4 linked regions of the Cricetulus griseus genome follow. The protein of the gene in region 4 interacts with the protein of the main gene of each other region in a biochemical or structural test. Links are inferred from orthologs where the notes say so. Each region holds a gene or a part of one and is shown on either strand. Other genes may lie near its edges.

Region 1 (4,842 bases), on a different chromosome or scaffold from region 4:
CCAGGTTTCCCTCTCTCAAGACTACAGGTGTCACACCAAATGTTTTCATTTCAGATGTATTCTCTCAGTGCCCTAGAGGGTTAAACCTGCTTTTCAGTGCCCTCTGATTTTGGTCTTGCTGTCTCCTAAATATTATTGACATCTCCTGGAAGGAGAGGAAACACTGGATGGGTACAGGCTAATAGTGAATTGTTCTTCTGAGTTAGACTGTTAGTGACATTTGTTCAATGACAGTCAACAAAGGTGGTGTGCTTGTTTTTATTACATTACTTATTTGGGGTATGGGTGCTCATGCCATGGTGTTTTTGAAGGACAGAGGACAAGTTGCAGAAGTTGGTTCAAACTCTAGATTCTAGCTCCACCCTCCTGAATGCCAACATGCCAATGTGTGCCTGTGCCCAGCCTTGCATACAAAACTTTTGGTATATGTGGTTGGCACCAAGCCTGTCTTCTGTACATAGAACATGCCATGTTACTATGTCACCCTCTAGTAGAAGATCTGATCCTTCATTCAGCTTTTTGCTTATTCCTCAGAGAATCACATTTTGGAGGATGTGAACAAGTGTGTCATTGCTCTCCAAGAGAAAGATGTGGATGGGCTGGACCGCACTGCTGGCGCCATTCGGGGCCGGGCAGCTCGAGTCATCCATGTAGTCACCTCAGAGATGGACAACTATGAACCAGGAGTTTATACAGAAAAGGTTCTGGAAGCCACCAAGCTCCTCTCCAACACAGGTCTGAGAACTGTCTTCTGTCCTAGTGTTCTCCCTGGTCCTCACTATGGCTTGGCTCTGACATCATTCCACATCTTGTGGATTGTACAGAACTCAGCTCTGGTTTTACACACACTGGGTGGCTCATCTTACTAGTAAGAAGTTGGTTATTAGGCAGCTCATGAACACATAAGTCTTTAAGGTGGGTCCTTCCTCCTGAAGTGTTGGGGATTGAACCCAGAACCTCTTACATGCTGGCCAAGCACTCAGCTACTATCCCAACCTGTTGTAAGTCCCATTGTTAAGGTCTCAAGGTAGTGTCATTTCAAGTTCTCAGTCACTCAATCCTAGATCACAGAGTCTGGTGAGAAGATGGTTGAGTCCTTGCAAAATATTGTCTGTTAGTCACCTATAAACGCCAAGGTTTATTTTGCTGGTGAGTACTGGGCACAAGAGTAGAAACACAAAGATCTTTGTCATGAGCTTCACTCTTCTGCCTGTTCAAGGACTCAGGAAAATGTTGGTAGAGTGCTGTCTGCTTAGGGTGACCTGCCTGCCTCTTGTCTCCATAGTCATGCCACGGTTCACTGAGCAAGTGGAAGCAGCTGTGGAAGCCCTCAGCTCAGACCCAGCCCAGCCTATGGATGAGAATGAGTTTATTGATGCCTCCCGACTGGTTTACGATGGCATCCGGGACATCAGGAAAGCAGTGCTGATGATAAGGGTGAATAACTACATTCTAGACATTTCAACAGCTTCTTTCTTATCATTTGATAACTTGACCAGTGTGTCATTTTGAAACTCAGCAGATCCAGTGGCCCTGTAGTGAAACCACAGATCCAAGAGCTGGTAAAATGAGAAAGAACCCAAAAATGGATCGAAAAAAGAAAATAAGATGGGCTTGATGAATTAAGAATTAATTTAGGAAATTTAGTTCAATAAACATAGATTAGCTTGGGTTACAGGGGAAACTACAGGAAATAGTCTCTTTAATTTCAGAGAAGCAGCTTTTTCTTAAAATAGGTAAAGTTCCTGTACTCCTCTCCAGAAGAAACTTTCCTCTCCTTGAAGGGAAGCCCAGGCAGGAGGTTAGACTCTGTTCAGGATAAGGAGTGGATGCTCCATGGCTCATGGCCAAGTGCTGAGCCAAGTGGAAGTACTGCCTCTGAGTCTTTGTCACCCATCTCAGAAAAGGCAGCAGAAGGTCCTATGGAGTTGGGTGGGATGGGTCTCTGAAACTGCAGTTTCTTCCATCAAACATGTCTTGGGCCTGTGTCTCCCAAACTGCCTTTTCCGTCGCTGTGGATCTCTTGCATGTTGCTCTGTCTGTGTTCCACCCCCAGTTTGTTGCAGGCTTGCAGAAGGGGCATTTGGAATACATTGCCCACCTGCTGCATTGCTGGAGCTTTGACTGCTGTCGTGTAGTTCAGTCCACTGACTTTCATTAATACCCGCATGGTTTGGCTAGACAGGGGCCCTATCTACTTTCTTACCCCTCTTCCTAGACTGCAGAAGTTAACCGCAGTGCCAGTTGGAACCATGTTCAAGACTTGCTGCATCCATTTTGTATGCAGCATTGAAACACTTAGGAAGACCACCATTCTGTGCATGAAGCAGGACAGCTGCCCATCAGCCCCAAGCACACTGGGAAGAGGAATGGTTGTGGGTGGAGCTACAAGATAGCAGAGGCTTCAGTCTTTGAGTGGGCCGGAGATGCTTTAGTGGATGAAGGTGTCTGCCACCAAACCATGAGGCCCGTTTGACCCTCAGGACCATCTCCCACAGGTTGTTCTCTGAGTTCCACATGTACAAAATAGATTAAAATGCCACTAAAAAGGTATTTTTTAAAGTTAAGGCAGAAGAATCTATCTCCTATAGAGGCTGGTCTGAGTTAACCATGGCAGCCAGTGGCTATAATATGGTATTAGTGGGTCCCAAGGCTACATATACTCCAGGGAGGCACACAGTTCTGCTTGTGTGTCCTGAAGCCATGTTAAAGCCAATGGGATCAAAGCTATGTAGTGTTCCCTAGGAGGTGACTCAAACCTAGAATACCACTTTGAAGAAGCAGTCTGGGTACTGGGAAAGCTCATCCTGAGAGCAGGCAGGTACCTTAGATGCCTCCTCCAAAATAATTCCTCTGTCTGTTACATCATTTTCTTCTCTTTACTGGGGAGCTGGAGTGATGGTGGTTCAGTGGTTAAAAGCACTGGTACTCTTTTGAGAGTTTGGACACCCATGTGGTGCCTCAGAACCATCTGAAACTCAGTCCCAGGGGATCCCATGCCCTCTTCTGGCCTACAGGTATGCCATACATGAATGAGGCATAACTCTCATACACATACAATAATTGTTTTAAAAAGTAATGGCTTTATTGAATGAAAAATGGCAGTGTTTTCAGCACAGTTCACTGCCTCTGGCTTCTTTCTTTCTTTCTCTATATGATCATGTCCCCCTTTGGGGGCGGCAGGGCCACAACATACCTCTCAGCCCCTCTGTATATCAGTCTCCTTGTCAGGGAAGCCCTGGTCTCTTCTCTTTGCCTGCATTTCTTTGTAAAAATGCGCTTTCTTTAGAGGCTGATTTTGCTCGTTTTCATACTTAAGTAGCCAACCCAGCCTCTGAAGCCAGATTACTCAGTGGTTAACTCCCCTGATCAAACAGCAAGTTTGGTTGGTTTTATCTTCCCTTTCGGGAATATGAATGTGGTCCCTTAGCGCAGTGCATCTCAGTCAATTCGTGTTGTCTGCTGTTCCATACTCTCCTAAGGTTCCACACCACTTGTCCTCTGCTGATCTTCCCTTGGCTCAGAGTCACCTGAGCTGGGATCCAGCCAGTGAGCCAAATCACTCTTCTGTTACTTGCTACTTCCTCAGTCTACCAACACCAGTCCTCCCACAAGACCTGTCTTTCCCTGTTTCCCATCAGCAGGATGGCTCTCTGTTCATGGCTCTGGAGTAAGTCATATAGTTGACTCCTGGTGCTTCCTGTTAGAATAGGTGAGTGAGTGAACACCAGCAGTCTGCAGCTAGAGCTCAGAGGTTCTGAACAGGACTCTAGAGCCCCATGCTGACAGGATCTTTATGGCTCTGTGGTACCTTGTGATTCCTGCCCCCTACTGTTCTCACTTCTCTAGGGGTAGGCCCAACCTTTCCCTGTCAGAATACAAGCTCATGTCACTGAGTGCTTCCTACATGTTCTGTCATTTGATCCTCACAGCAAGGCCCTGGGCATGGCTTGGCTCAGGGCCCAGTGGAGAGGAGGTCTCACTGCCCTCCTGTCACAGACTGGTCGTCTGGGCCAAAAGCCAACCCCAGCTGTCTTGCCTGTCGTCCTTCCTGATAACTGTGTCAATCAGTAGCTAATCAGGAGAGGCTGGGGTTGTACAAAACACAGATTTTGCCCAATAGTTAAAGCAGAAAGCAAGCAGTAGTCAGTGCCTTTGGTGTGCACGGAACTCTCATCTGCTGCATTCTCCTTTCCTTGGATAGAAAGAAAGTAGGACTTTAGGAATCATAGATTACCTTGTTTTATTCCTCTAAATTGCCTTTGGCACTCAGAGAGAAATCCCAGTATTAATTTATGTCCTTTTCTTGTCATAAGGTGGGACTTGAGTGAGATTGTTCTATGTTGTATAAAACATACCCGCTGTAAAGACTTTTGACCAAGGGTGGTTTTTACCTTCATGTGCAGATGCAGATCCCTTGGGAAACTGCATTGAAGTGAAGTCTTTGTTACAGCAAGCCTTGATTCAGTGGTCAGCCTGCGCTCCATACCCTATGAAAGGAGCTGTCTTTAAAAAGAGGGTGTGGAGGCGACACAAGATACTCTCTGGTGACCAGAGTCCTACACTCTGGGCCTCTATGCTCTGGTTGGGAGATTTCACTCTGGGAGGCTGGAGGCACAGAACTGTGTCTGATTCATAGTCTTTTGTGTTGGCTGCAGACTCCCGAGGAATTGGATGACTCTGACTTTGAGACAGAAGATTTTGATGTCAGAAGTAGGACAAGTGTCCAGACAGAAGACGACCAACTGATAGCTGGACAAAGTGCCCGGGTAAGGACACTCTCCTTGGTTCTCTGACTTGTTCTGTGAGACTCCCTAGCTATTTTCTCTTTTAGAATATTCA
Region 2 (4,842 bases), on a different chromosome or scaffold from region 4:
AAAGGGTATGGGATCCCCTGGAACTAAAGTTACAGATGGTTTTAAGTTTCTGCATGGGTGCTGGGAATTGAACCCATAATGTCTGTAAGAACAGCGAGTGCTCTTAACTGTTGAGGCTCTTAAATGCTGAGCCATCTCTCTAGCCCCTAAGTTTTGGATTTAATAAGAAAGGAAAAATTTGAGAGTAAGGTTAATTCCAACACTTGGGAGGCAGGGAAGAAGGGTTTGTATGACTTCAAGGCCAGCCAGAACTATATTGCAAGACTCTGTCTCAAAAATAAAGAACCAGCTGGGCGTTGGTGGTGCACGCCTTTAGTCCTAGCACTCGGGAGGCAGATCTCTGTGAGTATGAGACCAGCCTGGTCTACAAGAGCTAGTTCCAGGACAGCCTCCAAAGCCACAGAGAAACCCTGTCTCAAAAAATAAAAACAAACAAATAAATAAACAAAAACAAACAAACAAAGAACCAAATATGGTGGGTCATGATTTAATCCTAACATTTAGAAATCTAAGAGAGGTTTGTTGTGAGTTTGAGAGCAGCCTGAGCTATATAGTAAATTCTAGACCAGCCTGAGCTACAGAGTAAAGCTCTGTCTCAAAAAAGCAAAGCTACCTGGCCATGATGACACATGCCTTTAATTCAGGCACTCTGGAGGCAGAGGCAGGTGGATCTCTGTGAGTTCAAGGCCAGTCTGGTCTACATAGAGAGTTCCAGGATAGCCAAGGTGGTTGGTTGCATAGTATCAAAAAAGCAAACCAGTCATGCAAAATAATAAATAAATAAATAAATAACACAAAACAACAAACCAGAGTACAAAGAGAAAATGGAAGAATGTCTTGGAATGGTTGCACAGACTTGTAATATCAGGCTGAGGCAGAAGGATTGTAAGTTCCAGGCGAAACTCAGCCATACAAAACAAGACTTTGTATCACTCACAAAGTGAAGGCTTAGGAGGTGCAGCACTTGCTTTGTATAAGCTTGAGGACCTTAAGTGTGAATTCCCAAAACCCATACTAAGCTGAGTGAAGTGGTATGGGTCTGTAGATCCAGGAAAGTGACACTCATGGGCTAGCTAGCCTGGTGTGCACAGTGACAAAAAACTGAGAGACTGAGGCTGTCCTCTGATCAACACACACCTGTGATAATCGTTACATGCAAGCACACTGGAATCTAACTTTCTAGTTCTTTCCCTTTGTCTGGTTGAGTTTTCTCATGTTCGGAATGTTTAGGCATGATTCTCCTTTTGCCCTCACACACACAAGTTACTCACCATTTATTACCCATCTCTGTGAATACCCTGCAGCTTGGCAAGGTGGGACCTTTATCTTCCTTTTCAATATGGCCAGTCTCTAGCTGTTCATTGTGACTGTGTCATATGGCCATTTGAAGGCTTAGAGTGTGGTGTTGATGGGCAGTTTCTTAAATTCTTCTTGCACTGGAGTTAAATCCCCCCCCCCCCAAATATTATGTCAGTGTTTTCCAACCATGGTCATCTTCATTACTGAACACTTGCTGTGTTTCAGGTACTACTCTAGATACTTTATATGTAAACAAGTATCATTTAGTCCTTCCAAGCTCTCTAGGACATTGGCACCAATACCAAAATCTCAGTTTTAGCCTGAGCGGTGTCATACACCTCTAGTACCAACACTTGGAAAGTAGAGACAGGTAGATTTCTAGGAGTTAGAGGCCAGCCTGGTTTACATAGTGACTTTCAGGGCAGCCAGGGCTACACTGTGAAGCAGGCCCTATCTCAACAAAACAAAACAAATGCCCACTTTAGACATTGGGACAGTTCACCCAGAGGTTATGAGATCCCCTCTGGAGGCAGATGGGGAGCTATACTGAGAATTAAAAGCTAGCTGGCCAGCCCCTAGCCCATGGTGGCTTTCTTCTGTAGTTGACAAATGAAAGGATGGTAAGGGCAGAGTGTGTAGGATGTGTGTGTTTATGTGACAGGTCTGTGGGAATGGGTTCTAGAATCCCGGGTCACATTTTATGTTTTAGATCTTAGAAGAAAAGCAACAAAAACAGAAGGGCTGAATATACAAAAATGTAGCTCAATTGGTAAAGTCCTTGCCTAGCATGCATGAGGCCCTGGCTTCTGTTCCCCGCCACCACATGGACAGCATGGTGGCACGTGTCTGTCATCTGTGATAGGTGGAGGAAGAAGAGCTGAAGGTCAAGATCATCCTTGGCTACACAGCTTGAAGCCAGAGAATGTTTCTAAAAGAACGCCCAAACAAACAAGCAAAAAGGAAATAGGGCTTGATTAGAACTTGGCAGGCTATATAGTCTCTGATAAATGAGTATCTCCCCATGAAAGGAGAGGGTGAAATCTTCTAGAACTTTGTTACCTTGAGTCATTCTAAAACACTTAAGCAATTTAGGAGGCATTTTCCTTTCGTCTTCAGCTCTCTTATTTCCCTGAGTGTGCATGAAATTATCTTTATTGCACATTGGAACTGTTCAATACCAGTCTCCAGGTTATTTTTGTTTCCCATCCCAGCAGCTTCTGTTAGAACAAATGGAACCCTTAGAGATAGGACACAATAAGATTAACACATTTGTATTGATCTCAAAGTAGTTCTTAGTAGCAATTCCCCAAACTTAAACAAGTTTGGTAAATTAAACAAGATTGATAACTCCACTTAGAGAACTATATCCCTAGATATTTGGGAGTCCAGAACTAAATCCCCTCTGATATTATCGGAGTATAATGCCATTTAAAGGACACGTATTACATAAGCCTGAAATAACTTCTATTTATTTATTTATTTTTGGTTTTTCGAGAGACGGTTTCTCTGTGGCTTTGGAGGTTGTCCTGTAACTAGCTCTTGTAGAGCAGGCTGGTCTTGAACTCACAGAGATCCACCTGCTTCTGCCTCCCAAGTTCTGGGATTAAAGGGGTGTGCCAACACTGCCTGGCTGAAATAACTTTTAAATGCAATTGTCAAATTTCACACCCACAAATTGTGTAGATGCACAGTGGTTATTTGAATTCTGGATATTAAGAATTTAAAGAGCTCAGCCTAGTGGTGATCATGCATGACTTTAATCCTAGCACTGGAGGCAAAGGCAGGCAAATCTCTTGAGTTCAAGGCCAGGGTAAGTTCCAGGACAACTAGGGCTACACAGAAAAACCTTGTCTTGAAAGCCACAAAAAAAAAAAAAAAAAAAAAAAAAAAAGAAAAGAAAAAAAGAAAAGAAAAAAAGAAAAGAAAAAAAGAAAAGAAAAGAAAAAGAATTTAAGGAAAATATAGTTATTTGTTATATGGCTGTATTAGTTAGCCTTCTGACACTATAACAAAATTCCTGGGGCAATTGACTTAAAATAAAAGGTTTTACTTGGGTTTTTGTTCTGGAGGTTTAAGACCAAATAACATTGTAATTTTGTCCTCTGGTAAGGGCAGCACATCAGAGTGGGAACATATAGGAGAACAACCAATTGTCTTATAATACAAAAAGCAAAGCAGAGACTGGAGTCTCACGGTATGCTTCAAGGAAATATCTCCTGTGGTCTGAAGACCTCTCATTGGCCACTAAGCTAGGACCTAAGCTTTCAAGCACAGGGAACATTATTGGCAGCCAGTGTCCAAACAATAGCATTGTCAGGAATTCTTTGGTTTATGTTTCAGCTCTTCATTTTGGATGGTACACAGAATTTGCTATTGAGATTGAGTCCTTAAATTCAAATGTACACCACCTTTAGAAGATGGGAGACATCAGTGGGATAGATTGAACTGTTAGACCTGTGTTGTGTGTCTTCTAAATTACTTCATTTTTGTTAATCTTCTTTCCTCTTAGGACCCTGTCTCTGGATCCCAACCAGAAATGCTCACATTTCCCAGCTCTCACCAGGGTCCCAGAAGACAGAAACGAGACTGGGTTATCCCCCCCATCAGCTGCCCGGAAAATGAGAAGGGCCCATTTCCTAAAAACTTGGTTCAGGTATGGAAGGACTGAGAGAAGAGAAAATGAAAGGATTCAATGTCAAGACTTTTTTTTTTTTTTTTTTTTTGCCAATTCTGTTTCTTTTCTGTTTTGTGTTCAGATCAAATCCAATAGGGACAAAGAAACCACGGTTTTCTACAGCATCACTGGCCAAGGAGCTGACAGACCCCCTGTTGGTGTGTTTATCATTGAGAGAGAATCAGGCTGGCTGAAAGTGACAGAGCCTCTGGATAGAGAAAATATTGCCAAGTACATTGTGAGTATTTCTTAGATACTTGATGATCATTGGGTAACAAGTGTCAAGTTTGGGGGGCAACCCATGTTTTATCCCTAGGCCACATACATGCCTTGGCTGTGTGAGTAACTTAACTTACCCCTTGACGTGTTGATAATGTGAAGCCAAGAGAATAATTTGGGATGGTTAGTTGCTTTGTTTCCTTATAGGAGAAAAGCAGGAAATCCTCACACCATACATGAGCATAGATAGAAGTTGTCAAAGCGGGGGTGGAGAGATGAGATGGCTCAACAGTTAAGAGCATTTGTTGCTCTTATATTTTTGGTTGTGAGCCTAGCCTTTAACAGCTGAGCCATCTCTCCAACCCAAATTTGTTGCTTTTGTAGAGAATTTTGACTTCAGTTCCCAGCACTCAGATTAGGTGGTTTACAACCATCTGAAACTCTAGCTCCAGGTGCTCTGACATCCTCTTATGCCCTCCTTGTTCTGCATGAAAGTGCATGTGAACCCCACCCACACACACACAGAGAGAGAGAGAGAGAGAGAGAGAGAGAGAGAGAGAGAGAGACAGACAGACAGACAGACAGACAGACAGACAGACAGACAGAGATAGACAGACATAAATGAAAAGATGTCAGAAGTTTCTTACCTA
Region 3 (4,842 bases), on a different chromosome or scaffold from region 4:
CACTGCTCCCCAGTCTCTAGTGGCCACTGTTCCCTCTATCCTTCTGCAAGGGTGCTTTGGAAATAAGTGATAATGCATGACATTTGTCTTCCTGTGCCTGGCTTGGTTTGTATAAAAACAATGACCATTAAAAAGTTCAGTAGGGGTGATCAAAATTACAGTGCATGAGTTCTTTGAGGTTCTTCTTCAGCAGAATAGGGTACTATCTATGATACATGTCAGGATGGTTGCAAAGGATAAGTAGGGACTTCTTCAGTGCTTGCTGGTTAAAGACATGGAGATGCTCCTGAACCTTATTGGATTGTTATGCATTGTGTTGAGTAATGCACTCCCATAAAGAGGTGCATTTCTTACATCTGGATAAACAATAAATTGGAAGTAAGGATGATAATCACCTGTGAGTGGGATTGCTTTTCAACACACTAGGGCAGAGAGAAAATTCTCATCCCTTTGAGCCTGTCACTACTATGCAGATTTTGTTGGGAGTTTTTGCAAGACTCTCCTAGGAGCTAGACCTTGAGGCATGAGTGTGAATTCCACTTGTTCCTTTGGAGGTACTCCTGGACTGACACTGGAGCTTTTTCCTGAGTTGTTGGTTCTGGATGCTTTCTACCTCCCAGTTGATGTTTACCTTGACACTGCTCAGCCCAGTTGCCTAGCAACAGTAATTTAGTCATCAACACAATGTTTCTTTAGTTGTACAGGTGACTCACTTGCATTAGAATTTTCTTCTATTTGTCCTGTAAATGTAGTCATGGAAAACACAGGAGGGTTGTCATTTATATCCATAACCCTGACTCTAAGCTCCAGTGGGTTCTCCAAATCTTGACCTTGTGCATTCAATGCTCGGCAGTAGATCTAGATATGAAAGAAAAGGATCCCTGGTGAGTTACACATTTGTAAGTTCTTACAGGTGGAGGTATTGTCTTGGTAACATGTAGGATTAAGGAATACCATATTATTATTCCCCATTAAAATATAGACATGAACAACACACATAATCAGTAAGAAAAGGCAAACAAGAGCATAAAATGCCAGTTTATAAAGGTAAACTGATGCATTAGATAAAGGAAATGTTGCAGCTTCTATGTTTAAAATCAAGAGAAAGAGTACCAGGGGAAGGACACCAGAGAACACGGCCAGCAAGAATCAGAGGAGCACTTTGAAAACAATGTGGCATTCTTAAGTGCTGGGGCGGTTGTTTGTTTTATTATTACTGCTTCCCTTGAGAAGACCTATAATGTGTATTATTTCACAGAGGCCATCTCTGTGTAACAGTGAATTGTGTACTGCTTTGCTGATTTATTGAATTTGTAGGGAGACACTGTGGAGGGCAGAAGTCAAGAATACAGATATGAAATTGGAGGCTCAGGAATTAAAGTAGTTCTAGGAATGCAGATGTGCAGTGTGAATTAACACAGCAAGGACTAAACAATATTTGGAGGTAGTTTGAAATATTATATCTTATCAAGGCTGGAGACTGAATCTAGTCTTTTACACACAATAAAAAATGCTTGGCCACTAGGTTAAATCCTCAGATGTTTGATGAGATTTTAATTGAAGAGATCACAAGTTCATTAGAAGATTATCATTATCATTATTATTGGTTTTTTGAGATAGGGTTTCTCTGTGTAGTTCTGGTTGTCCGGGAACTTGTTTTGTAGACCAGGCTGGCCTCGAACTCACAGAGATCTGCCTGCCTCCACATCCCAAGTGCTGGGATTAAAGACATGCATCACTACCGCCCAGCTTATTTTATTTTTTTTCTTGATTAAGAAGTGTTAGCTATGACCATAGAGGGAAATGAAGGCAGTGAATGACTAAGGAGAATAGAAGGGGGAAAGGCGATGACAGGATAATGCTCTTCAAGAGACAAGTAACAACAGGGTGACAGACATGTCATGGGAAAGTTCCGGGAAAGCAAAAATTGATCATGCTTTTAGAAGCAGTAAGAAATGTATCTGAGTGAGAAGTGAATGTTCTGTGTGTATGTATGGGAGGTGTCAGGACAGGGGATCGTGGCTTGGTTTGGAGGTGAGATGCTTAAGGAGAAGTGAGGTGAGACATTAAAAGACAGGCTGCTTAAGTTGTGTGACAACTTCTACAAGAAAAGGAGACTGGGGGTGGGGAGGACAGAGAGAGACTAAGGATGAGTGAGTTTTCAAATTTCTTTTAGGGCTCAGATGATCTTGAACAGTGTAACGTTATGATGAAGTATGTCCATATGGAACAAATAGCCTCCAGGAGCTCCAGGCTTATCACTTGGCACTGGAGTTAAAAGGAAGCATCAATTTCCACGGATTTTCTTTTTTAAGATAGAACAAAAGCTAAAGATTTACCCTTCCAAGCAAATAATCTAATTTGTCATGGAGCTGATGTTAATTAGCATTTTTTTGCTAGCACATAAAGAAAATGTTTCTATATTATTATTTTTTATCTATTGGGGTACCAGTGAATTCAGAAAGATTTGAATCTCAGAAAGCCAGATTTGGGGAGTCTTGAAATCAAATCTAGTATGGTCTAAAATTTTTCTAAGAATAATTTACATCTGCATACAGATGTTGACACAAAGCCCACTTACAATAAAAAAGGGGGTGACTTCCCGATCAACGATGGATGTTATATTAATTTCACCAGTTTTTTGATTAATAACGAAGATTCCATAAGGTGGCTGGTCAATTCCTACTCCAGAGATGCGGTACGTCACTTGCTGGTTTGCGGCACAGTCAGAATGAATCTGTACAAAGACACAGGAGAAGATGTTACAGGAGCCATGTGGACATCCACATGTGACATATGACAATGTTTTCCTTGAGAATTGTTGAATGTGCCATTTGTGGTATCACTTGGGAAGTGTTAAAAACAGGGAAATGATCTTTAGTAATAGGTATGTGGTCAGTGTGCATTCTTAATGGTAAATAGCAATGTAATGAGATAATCCCATTTCTATGTCTTTTTTTATTTTGTTTGTTTATCTTTGTTTTAGTTTTTTTAAGACAGGGTTTCTCTGTCTTAAACAGCCCTGGCTGTCCTGGAACTTGCTTTGTAGACCAGGCTGGCCTTGTACTCACAGAGATGTGTCTGCCTCTAACTCTCGAGTGCTGTGCAAAAGGAGTGCCCCACTATGCCAGCCCTATTTCTATGTCTACCAAACAATAAAGAAACAAATGCTACTCTAAGAAGTCTTTATAGCTGCTGTGCATAGATCCCATAATCATTAAACATTTATAATTTTATTTTTGTATTAGTTTTAGATTCTATTCTAGCTTCGTCCAGGGTAGGTTATTTCTTGCTTTCTTGGAGAGTTTTATATCAAATATATATTATTTTATAATGTTGATTTTTAAATCAAAAACAACTTTAAAAATACTAAGATTCAAAAAATGTTTAAGTAGATTTTTGTAGTAACAAATTATTTGAAACTTTTAATTCTGAAAGTGGTAAAGAAAAGGAAAGAGCCCACTCTAATAAAAGATTATAAAGTAAAAAAAATTGTAGAGTCTAGCTTTTTGTCCATGTAAATATCATATGAATATAAGTAAATCTTACAAGGCAGTTTCCATATCCATCTGTGTGAATGCTTGTACTTGTATCTGTGTATATCTCTCTTTATATGTCGATGGGAGTGAATCTGTGTGTGTGTAGGGAATAACTTCCTGAGTTTGTGCTTTTGTGTATGAAGAAAGAAAAAACCAGAGGAATTTGAGGTTATGAATGAGGCATGCTTTGAACCTTATATATATAGACAAATAGAAGTTAAGTCAAAGCAGAGAGAGCACGTACTCTCAGCATGCTGAACTCTATCTGTAAACCATGGTTGTTTTGGAGTATAGCATAACAATTATTCATGTGGACTACTACCAATGAGTTGAGACAATGTTTAGTTGCTAATCCAAGTACACAACTTCATTGGTTTATCCCTTTAGGAATTTTAGTTTTCATAATTTGAATGGGGAGGTGCTGTTAGGTCCCATGTGTGCACAAAGCACATAAAAGCTGGGCCCTTCCAGAACTGTGACCCTGTCTAGTGTGCTGTTTAGATCCATGCTTTGGGGTTGACACTTACTTTGGCAATAGGGTTTCTTTTTGAGTTGTCTTCACCTTCCCGACAAGCTGCAGCAAACTTAATCCACTCACGTTTCTGCCTTCTGATGGTGTGCCAACTGATGGTACCATTTTTGGCGTTATGGTCTCTTACCTTAAATAGGTAAAATACAGTGTCCATTAACTATTAACTTACTCTTACTGGTATTCAACTGAAGATTCGGGGGGGAAGAGTAATTATGTCAGGAAGAAAAGATGGTAAAATGGAAAATTAAGAATTCTGATAATATTAACATTTACAATTGTAACAATGTAGTAATTTTGTATTTAGAAGAACAAGGATTTTCTTGTCATTGTTCTTGAATATTTGTTGTCATTGCTAATCTATATTTTCCTTTGATATGCTCCCTCTTCCTCCATCTCCCCCACTTTCCCTTTTCTGTTTTTGTTTCGTTTTGTTTGTTTATTGTATGATTTTGAAACAGAGTTTCTTTATGTAGCTCAGACTGGCTTCTAATCCACAATCTTCATGCCTCAGTTTTAGGAATGCTGGGATTACAGACATGCACTACCATTCCTGGCCTTTTTAATTTTCAGTGTGGGAAAAAAAAGAGGTTTGCTTTTTATTACCTGGATATGAAATTCACTGTTAACTTCAAGCACCACCTGTAAAAAAACAAAAAACAATCACAATAGTTCATTTTTAATGAGTGTTTTCAATTCTATGTGAACCAATAACTAAAAACACATAAAATAAAACCAAACAATGCAGGTGTGGGCTAACTTAATGGCAGTAGA
Region 4 (5,179 bases):
GCCATTCGAGTGCTGGGAACCAAATCCAGGTCTGCAGAAGAGCAGCCAGTGCTCCGAGCCATCTCTCCAGCGCCCTTGACCCTCCTTCTGTCTGGAATCCTTGCGTCTTCAACTTTCACCCAGACACTTGGCAGATGGGCCAGGCATGGTTCCTTCTGTATGTAGCGACTCCAGAGCCTGTCACATGTTGAACCCATGCTCTACACTGAGCTACAACACAGTTCTATTTTATAGATAAGGAAATCAAAGGTTCCAATAATTGGCTTTCTCGGGGCTGTGAGAAAGCCTACATGAAAATGGACCATTGATGCTACATTAATCTACGTGCCCTTTTCAGCCAGGCTGCTGGGAAGCTCAGAGTTCCAGCTCAGTCATGGCTAGAATTAACCTTCAATCTTTCTGCAAAGGTTTTGCCGCCTTCTCTGCTCTTTTGTCCTTGCTGCCTGTTAAGGGGCTGGAGACTGATTCTTCCTTGATAGCCACCTCACATCCTCTTTGGGGTGGGGAGATCTCTCTGTGTCTTTCTTGGCATCTCTAGATCACTTTGCTCTGTGCTGGGCAGCTAGAGAGAACACAAGCATCCTCTCTGGTTTCTGCCTGGGCCCATCAGCCATAGATGCAGGATACTACTGCATCCACTAGGCCTAGCTTACATCATCTCTTTCCAGGTGCTATCCTCTCCCTTGCTGTTTCCCCGAACGGGGGGGGGGGGGGGGAGAGTTCGAGCCCAGGAGACATGAAAGAGCGGAGAGGGTGTGACCACCACTGAGCATAGTGAGCAGCAAGGAGTCATGGAGAGCTGGGCAGGAGCTGGGATGGGCCTGCTACTGGCCAACAAGAAGCCTGGATTAGCAAGTGTTAGGCAGCAGAGAGCTGGGGTTGAGATATCTGTCATAATCATATTACAGCACGGTGGCAGAGGCTGAGGCGAGCAAGCAGCTTGCCTGTGGAGCAAACTAGCCATGTGTCAATAAAGCAGAAGCTCTTCTGTCCCCTATTCTATGTCCTAGACTCCTAAGGTGCTATGTGACTAGGGAATTAAATCATTAAATGGACTGCAGCTCTTCAAACACTCCCCTCTCTCCATTTGCCTCCCCAGCCCTGAGGACATACAAGGCTCAGCCAAGAGGTATTCCAGGCTGCTAGGAGAGGCCCCTCACCCCTACAGTACTCCTTAATTCCCCTATACCATAATACTCTAACAGCAGCCATTGGATCTGTGTGTTATTTTATTTTCTTTGCTTTGGTCTATACAAAAACAAAAAGAAAAGAAAAACCAATAACCAAAAACATAAAGCAATCATAATAAAACTCTCTGATGGGGCTCCCCCACCTTGCAGTCCCCCCAAACCCATGTGCAGGAGGCAGTGTGGGAGTCAAACAGGAAGGAGAGGAAAAGCCCCTCACCACACCAGAGGGGTGAGCTAGAGCACTTGTGCAGGTCAGCTGGGCTAGTGGAGGGCAGGGTGAGAGGGGGCTTTGCCAAGAGCTCCCTTGGAGAGGAGCAAAGCAGACTTAGCATCTTGGAGAGAAGGGCAGGTCCTGGAGGGGGTACTTGGAGTCCCCACTCTCTTTCCCTGGAAGGTTACCAAACTTTTCAAAAAAAAGCTTCAGATGTCAGGAGTTTGTTGGGGCTTTGAACCTGTTTGTGTCTTGGATATCCCAGATGGGGGCAGTTGGATGCTGAAGTTCAGTGAGAAATTGGCCCCAGGGGAAAAAAAAAAAAAAAAAAAAAAAAAAGGAAGCCCGGGAGGGCCAGGCAGCTGGAGTAGAGCTGAGAGGGTTGCTGTGCAAGGGCACCGGCTGAGTCTAAAGCTTTAGTGGCCATAGCCATAGTGGGGACGGGAGAAGGTGCTGGGTGGGCCTGGATCCACAGCCCAGGGCAGAAAAGCGGGAGCAGACACCATCCCAAGAAACGCTATGGAGGAACTCTCTGGAGCATGGGTTCAGCAGGAAGTCCAGGCTGGCTCCTGGGGCTCGGGTACTTTTCTGTCTCCTCCCACAGTCTGCTCGAGAGCTTTCCAGGTGAGAAACAGCTCCTGCGGGGCAGGTAGACACAGGGATCATCAGGTGCTTGCTTGGCAGGCCTGCATCCCCTAGAATCGCTCAGGTTGCTATTGTGACACCTGCCTACCACTCCCGAAAAACTGGCCTTTCTCCTTATTTGCTTAAAAGTAGCTGGAGGGGCAGGATCTGGGTGCCAAACAAGGGACAAGTACAAAGGAGCGAGCCTCCAGCGGTGCAGCTCCTTATGGGGCTGAAGCAGAAAGATCCTAAGTTCAAGGCATGCCTGGCTGGGCTCCAGACTGAGTTAAAGGCTAGTTTAACCAGACTATTTCAATTTAACGGAAGGCAAAACCAGGGCTGGGATGCACTCCAGTGGTAGAGCACTTGCCTAGCACACACAAAGTTCCAGGTTCAATTCCCAGTGTGACAAAAGGGGGAAAAGGGTGACAAAAAAAGGCATGACGATGTCACCAAGGCTGGGGAAAAGCCATAGATTTGAGGCCAGCCTGGGCTACATAGTGAATTTTAGGCCAGCCTGAAACAGAGTAAAACCTTGTCAATGATAATAATAATATTATCATCATAATAAAGGTGGGCCAGAGCACAACAGATTAAAAAGCTTAGGACTCCCAAATGCCTTCTCCACCCCACCGAAGCCAGGGTTTACAGCCCAGAATGGAAAGGTCCCCACCAGACCATTCAGAGAGGAAAAGCAGGTGTCACTATAACCACAGCTACAGGGAGAGGGCAAGGCTGCAAGACAGGAAGGGGCCATACTGAGGTGGAGCCAGCTAGGCCAGCATGTGGTCTGCAGTGGGGTAGGGAGGCCTCAGGCCGTCACTGTAGGTGTCCATGGGGTAGTCCCCATCCATGTCCATATGCATATCCAGGGGGTCCAGAGGCACATCGCTGGAGTACATGGGACGGTAGGTGGCATCCATGTCTGGGGATGAAAAAGGAAGGCTTGTCCAGGGATCTGCAGACCATACATGGCAGCAGAGTAGGCCCACTGCACACACACACCCCCCCACACTTCAGGGATGTAAAGTGGAACCCAACAGCCACCATGAGTTTCCATTCTCACCCACACAGCCACTGGCTCTCGGGTGGCGCTCCACACACTTACCATCCGCGTAGGGTTCATTGATTGGGATCATACTCTGGGCCTGAGGAAGGACAGAAAGACATAGGAGGTGTGGGAAAATATCCTCTGCACTGCCTTTCCACCAAAGGACAGAGAGGTGCTCCAAGCAAGGGGTCAGGAGACCCCTCAGAGGAGGAAAAGAAAGCACCAGTGTCCCTGGGCCCTGCCCTGGGTAGAGGTCTCACCACTAATGCCTTGGGCTCCCACAAGCCAGAGCAGCTATGGGGAGGGAGTGGAGGTAAGAAGTGCAGGTAGGGTGCACCTGGATAATTTGCACAGTACCTGTGTGCAAATTAGAACAAGGCAACCCTGGATGTAGGTGTAAGTCAGTGGCAGAGTACCTGTCCAGCATATCCAAGGCCCTAGGTTCCATTCCCGACACACACACACACACACACACACACACACACACAGAGTGAGAGCACCCATTCTCAAATCCTTTATCTTCATGGGGGTAAAAGAGATACATAGCTGGGAATAGTGGGGTAGCTCACGCCTGAGATCCCAGGACTTGGGAGACTGAGGCAGGAGGATTGGTGCAAATTCCAGGCTAGCCTGGGGGTACAGAGCGAGACTGTGCAATGCCTGACTATCTCAAAACACCACCCAGGGCTGTAGATACAGCTCAGCGGTAGAGTCCCTGCAGGGCATGCACAGGGCCCTGGTATGACCCCCAGCACTGGAAAAAAAAAAAAAAAGCCAAGCAAACGAACAAAAGCATACACACAAACTAAAACAAAAACCAGACATAATTCAATCTACTACCTCTATGTCATAAAGGACCCCATTGTAAAATAAAATAAAAATCTAGCCAGGCATGACACCCTTAAATCAGAGTATTTGAGAGGTGGAGTCCGGAGGATTAAGAGTTCAAAATCAGCTGGGCAGTGGTGGTGCACACACCTTTAATCCCGGCACTCAGGAGGCAGAGGCACACAGAGGCCAGCCTGGTCTACAGAACAAGTTCCAGGACAGACTCTAAAGGTACTCTAAAGAAACCTGGTCTCAAAAAACAAAAACAAAAAACAAGAGTTCAAAATCAGGGGGCTGGAGAGATGGTTCGGTGGTTAAGAGCATGGATGCACTTCTAGAGGTCCTGAGTTCAATTCCCAACAACCACATAGTGGCTCACAACCATCTATAATGGAATCTGATGCCCTCTTCTGTTATTCGGGCACACATGCAAATAGATATAAACAAATCTAAAAAAAAAGTAACTGGGATTGGCATATAAAATTAAAAAAAAAAGTTCAAAATCCAGCCAGATAGTGGTGCACACACCGTTAGTCCCAGCACCCCAGCACTAGGGAGGCAGAGGCAGCTGAGTTTGAGTTTGTATTTCAGCCTGGTCTACAGAGCTAATTCTAGGTTAGCCAGGGCTACACAAAGAAACCCTGTCTCAAAAACAAAACAAAACAAACAAAAAATCACCCTTGAGATGAATATTGAGTTAGAGGCTATCCTGGGCTACACAAGACTATATACCAAAAACAAACAAACCCCAAATATCTGAAAACTAAACTTACATCTCTGAGGTCAGCTAAGCCTCCTCAGAGATCAATGAGCTGCCCCCACGCAGTCTGTTCAATCAGACGTTCAAGCCCAGTCATACTCACAGCCTCCCAGGCAGCTGGGTCGTGCTTGAAGAGCGAGTTGGTGAGCTCCACAGACACTCGCTTCCGGTAATCTGGGTTCTTGTCCTCCGAGATGCGGAACAGGACAGCGGCGGCATAGGTCGCTGAGCAGAGAGGGAAGTGAGGTCCAAGTCAGAGGCTGCCCCTACCATGGCGGGAGGAATAGAGCCCAGCCTCCTCCCTTGGGCGCTTGCCCACAGTCTCAGCCCCTCACCGGTGCCCTCATTGCGGGAGTGGAGCAGTTCCATGAGAGGGGCAGAGGCGCCCTCCGCATCGATGGCGTCAGCAGCCTCCTTGTCCTGGGCCAGCTCACACAGCACTCCGGCAGCCACACGCTGGATGTTCTCCACGGAGGAATACAGGAGCTAGGAGAGAGGACACAGGTGGACGGGAG

The links. The genes of interacting proteins can lie anywhere in the genome.
Region 1: the proteins of Jup (region 4) and Ctnna1 form a complex in vitro, tested with the Homo sapiens proteins (2 studies listed by BioGRID). The link is inferred for Cricetulus griseus from reciprocal best matches to the Homo sapiens genes JUP and CTNNA1.
Region 2: the proteins of Jup (region 4) and Cdh1 form a complex in vitro, tested with the Homo sapiens proteins (2 studies listed by BioGRID). The link is inferred for Cricetulus griseus from reciprocal best matches to the Homo sapiens genes JUP and CDH1.
Region 3: the proteins of Jup (region 4) and desmoglein-1-alpha form a complex in vitro, tested with the Homo sapiens proteins (2 studies listed by BioGRID and IntAct). The link is inferred for Cricetulus griseus from reciprocal best matches to the Homo sapiens genes JUP and DSG1.

The regions. Positions count from the first base shown.
Region 1 is NC_048595.1:202,265,837-202,270,678, reverse strand, and holds part of Ctnna1 (catenin alpha-1), read left to right. Parts: intron 1-534; coding exon 535-735; intron 736-1,285; coding exon 1,286-1,437; intron 1,438-4,658; coding exon 4,659-4,769; intron 4,770-4,842. UniProt on the Homo sapiens protein: Associates with the cytoplasmic domain of a variety of cadherins. The association of catenins to cadherins produces a complex which is linked to the actin filament network, and which seems to be of primary importance for cadherins cell-adhesion properties.
Region 2 is NC_048596.1:182,967,616-182,972,457, forward strand, and holds part of Cdh1 (cadherin-1), read left to right. Parts: intron 1-3,808; coding exon 3,809-3,952; intron 3,953-4,055; coding exon 4,056-4,211; intron 4,212-4,842.
Region 3 is NC_048595.1:216,590,095-216,594,936, forward strand, and holds part of desmoglein-1-alpha, read right to left. Parts: intron 4,711-4,842; coding exon 4,675-4,710; intron 4,199-4,674; coding exon 4,067-4,198; intron 2,738-4,066; coding exon 2,582-2,737; intron 859-2,581; coding exon 714-858; intron 1-713. UniProt on the Homo sapiens protein: Component of intercellular desmosome junctions. Involved in the interaction of plaque proteins and intermediate filaments mediating cell-cell adhesion.
Region 4 is NC_048600.1:113,430,251-113,435,429, forward strand, and holds the end of Jup (junction plakoglobin), read right to left. Parts: intron 5,151-5,179; coding exon 5,000-5,150; intron 4,890-4,999; coding exon 4,768-4,889; intron 3,174-4,767; coding exon 3,134-3,173; intron 2,951-3,133; coding exon 2,799-2,950; 3' UTR 2,785-2,798; intron 2,040-2,784; 3' UTR 1,212-2,039; downstream 1-1,211. UniProt on the Homo sapiens protein: Common junctional plaque protein. The membrane-associated plaques are architectural elements in an important strategic position to influence the arrangement and function of both the cytoskeleton and the cells within the tissue.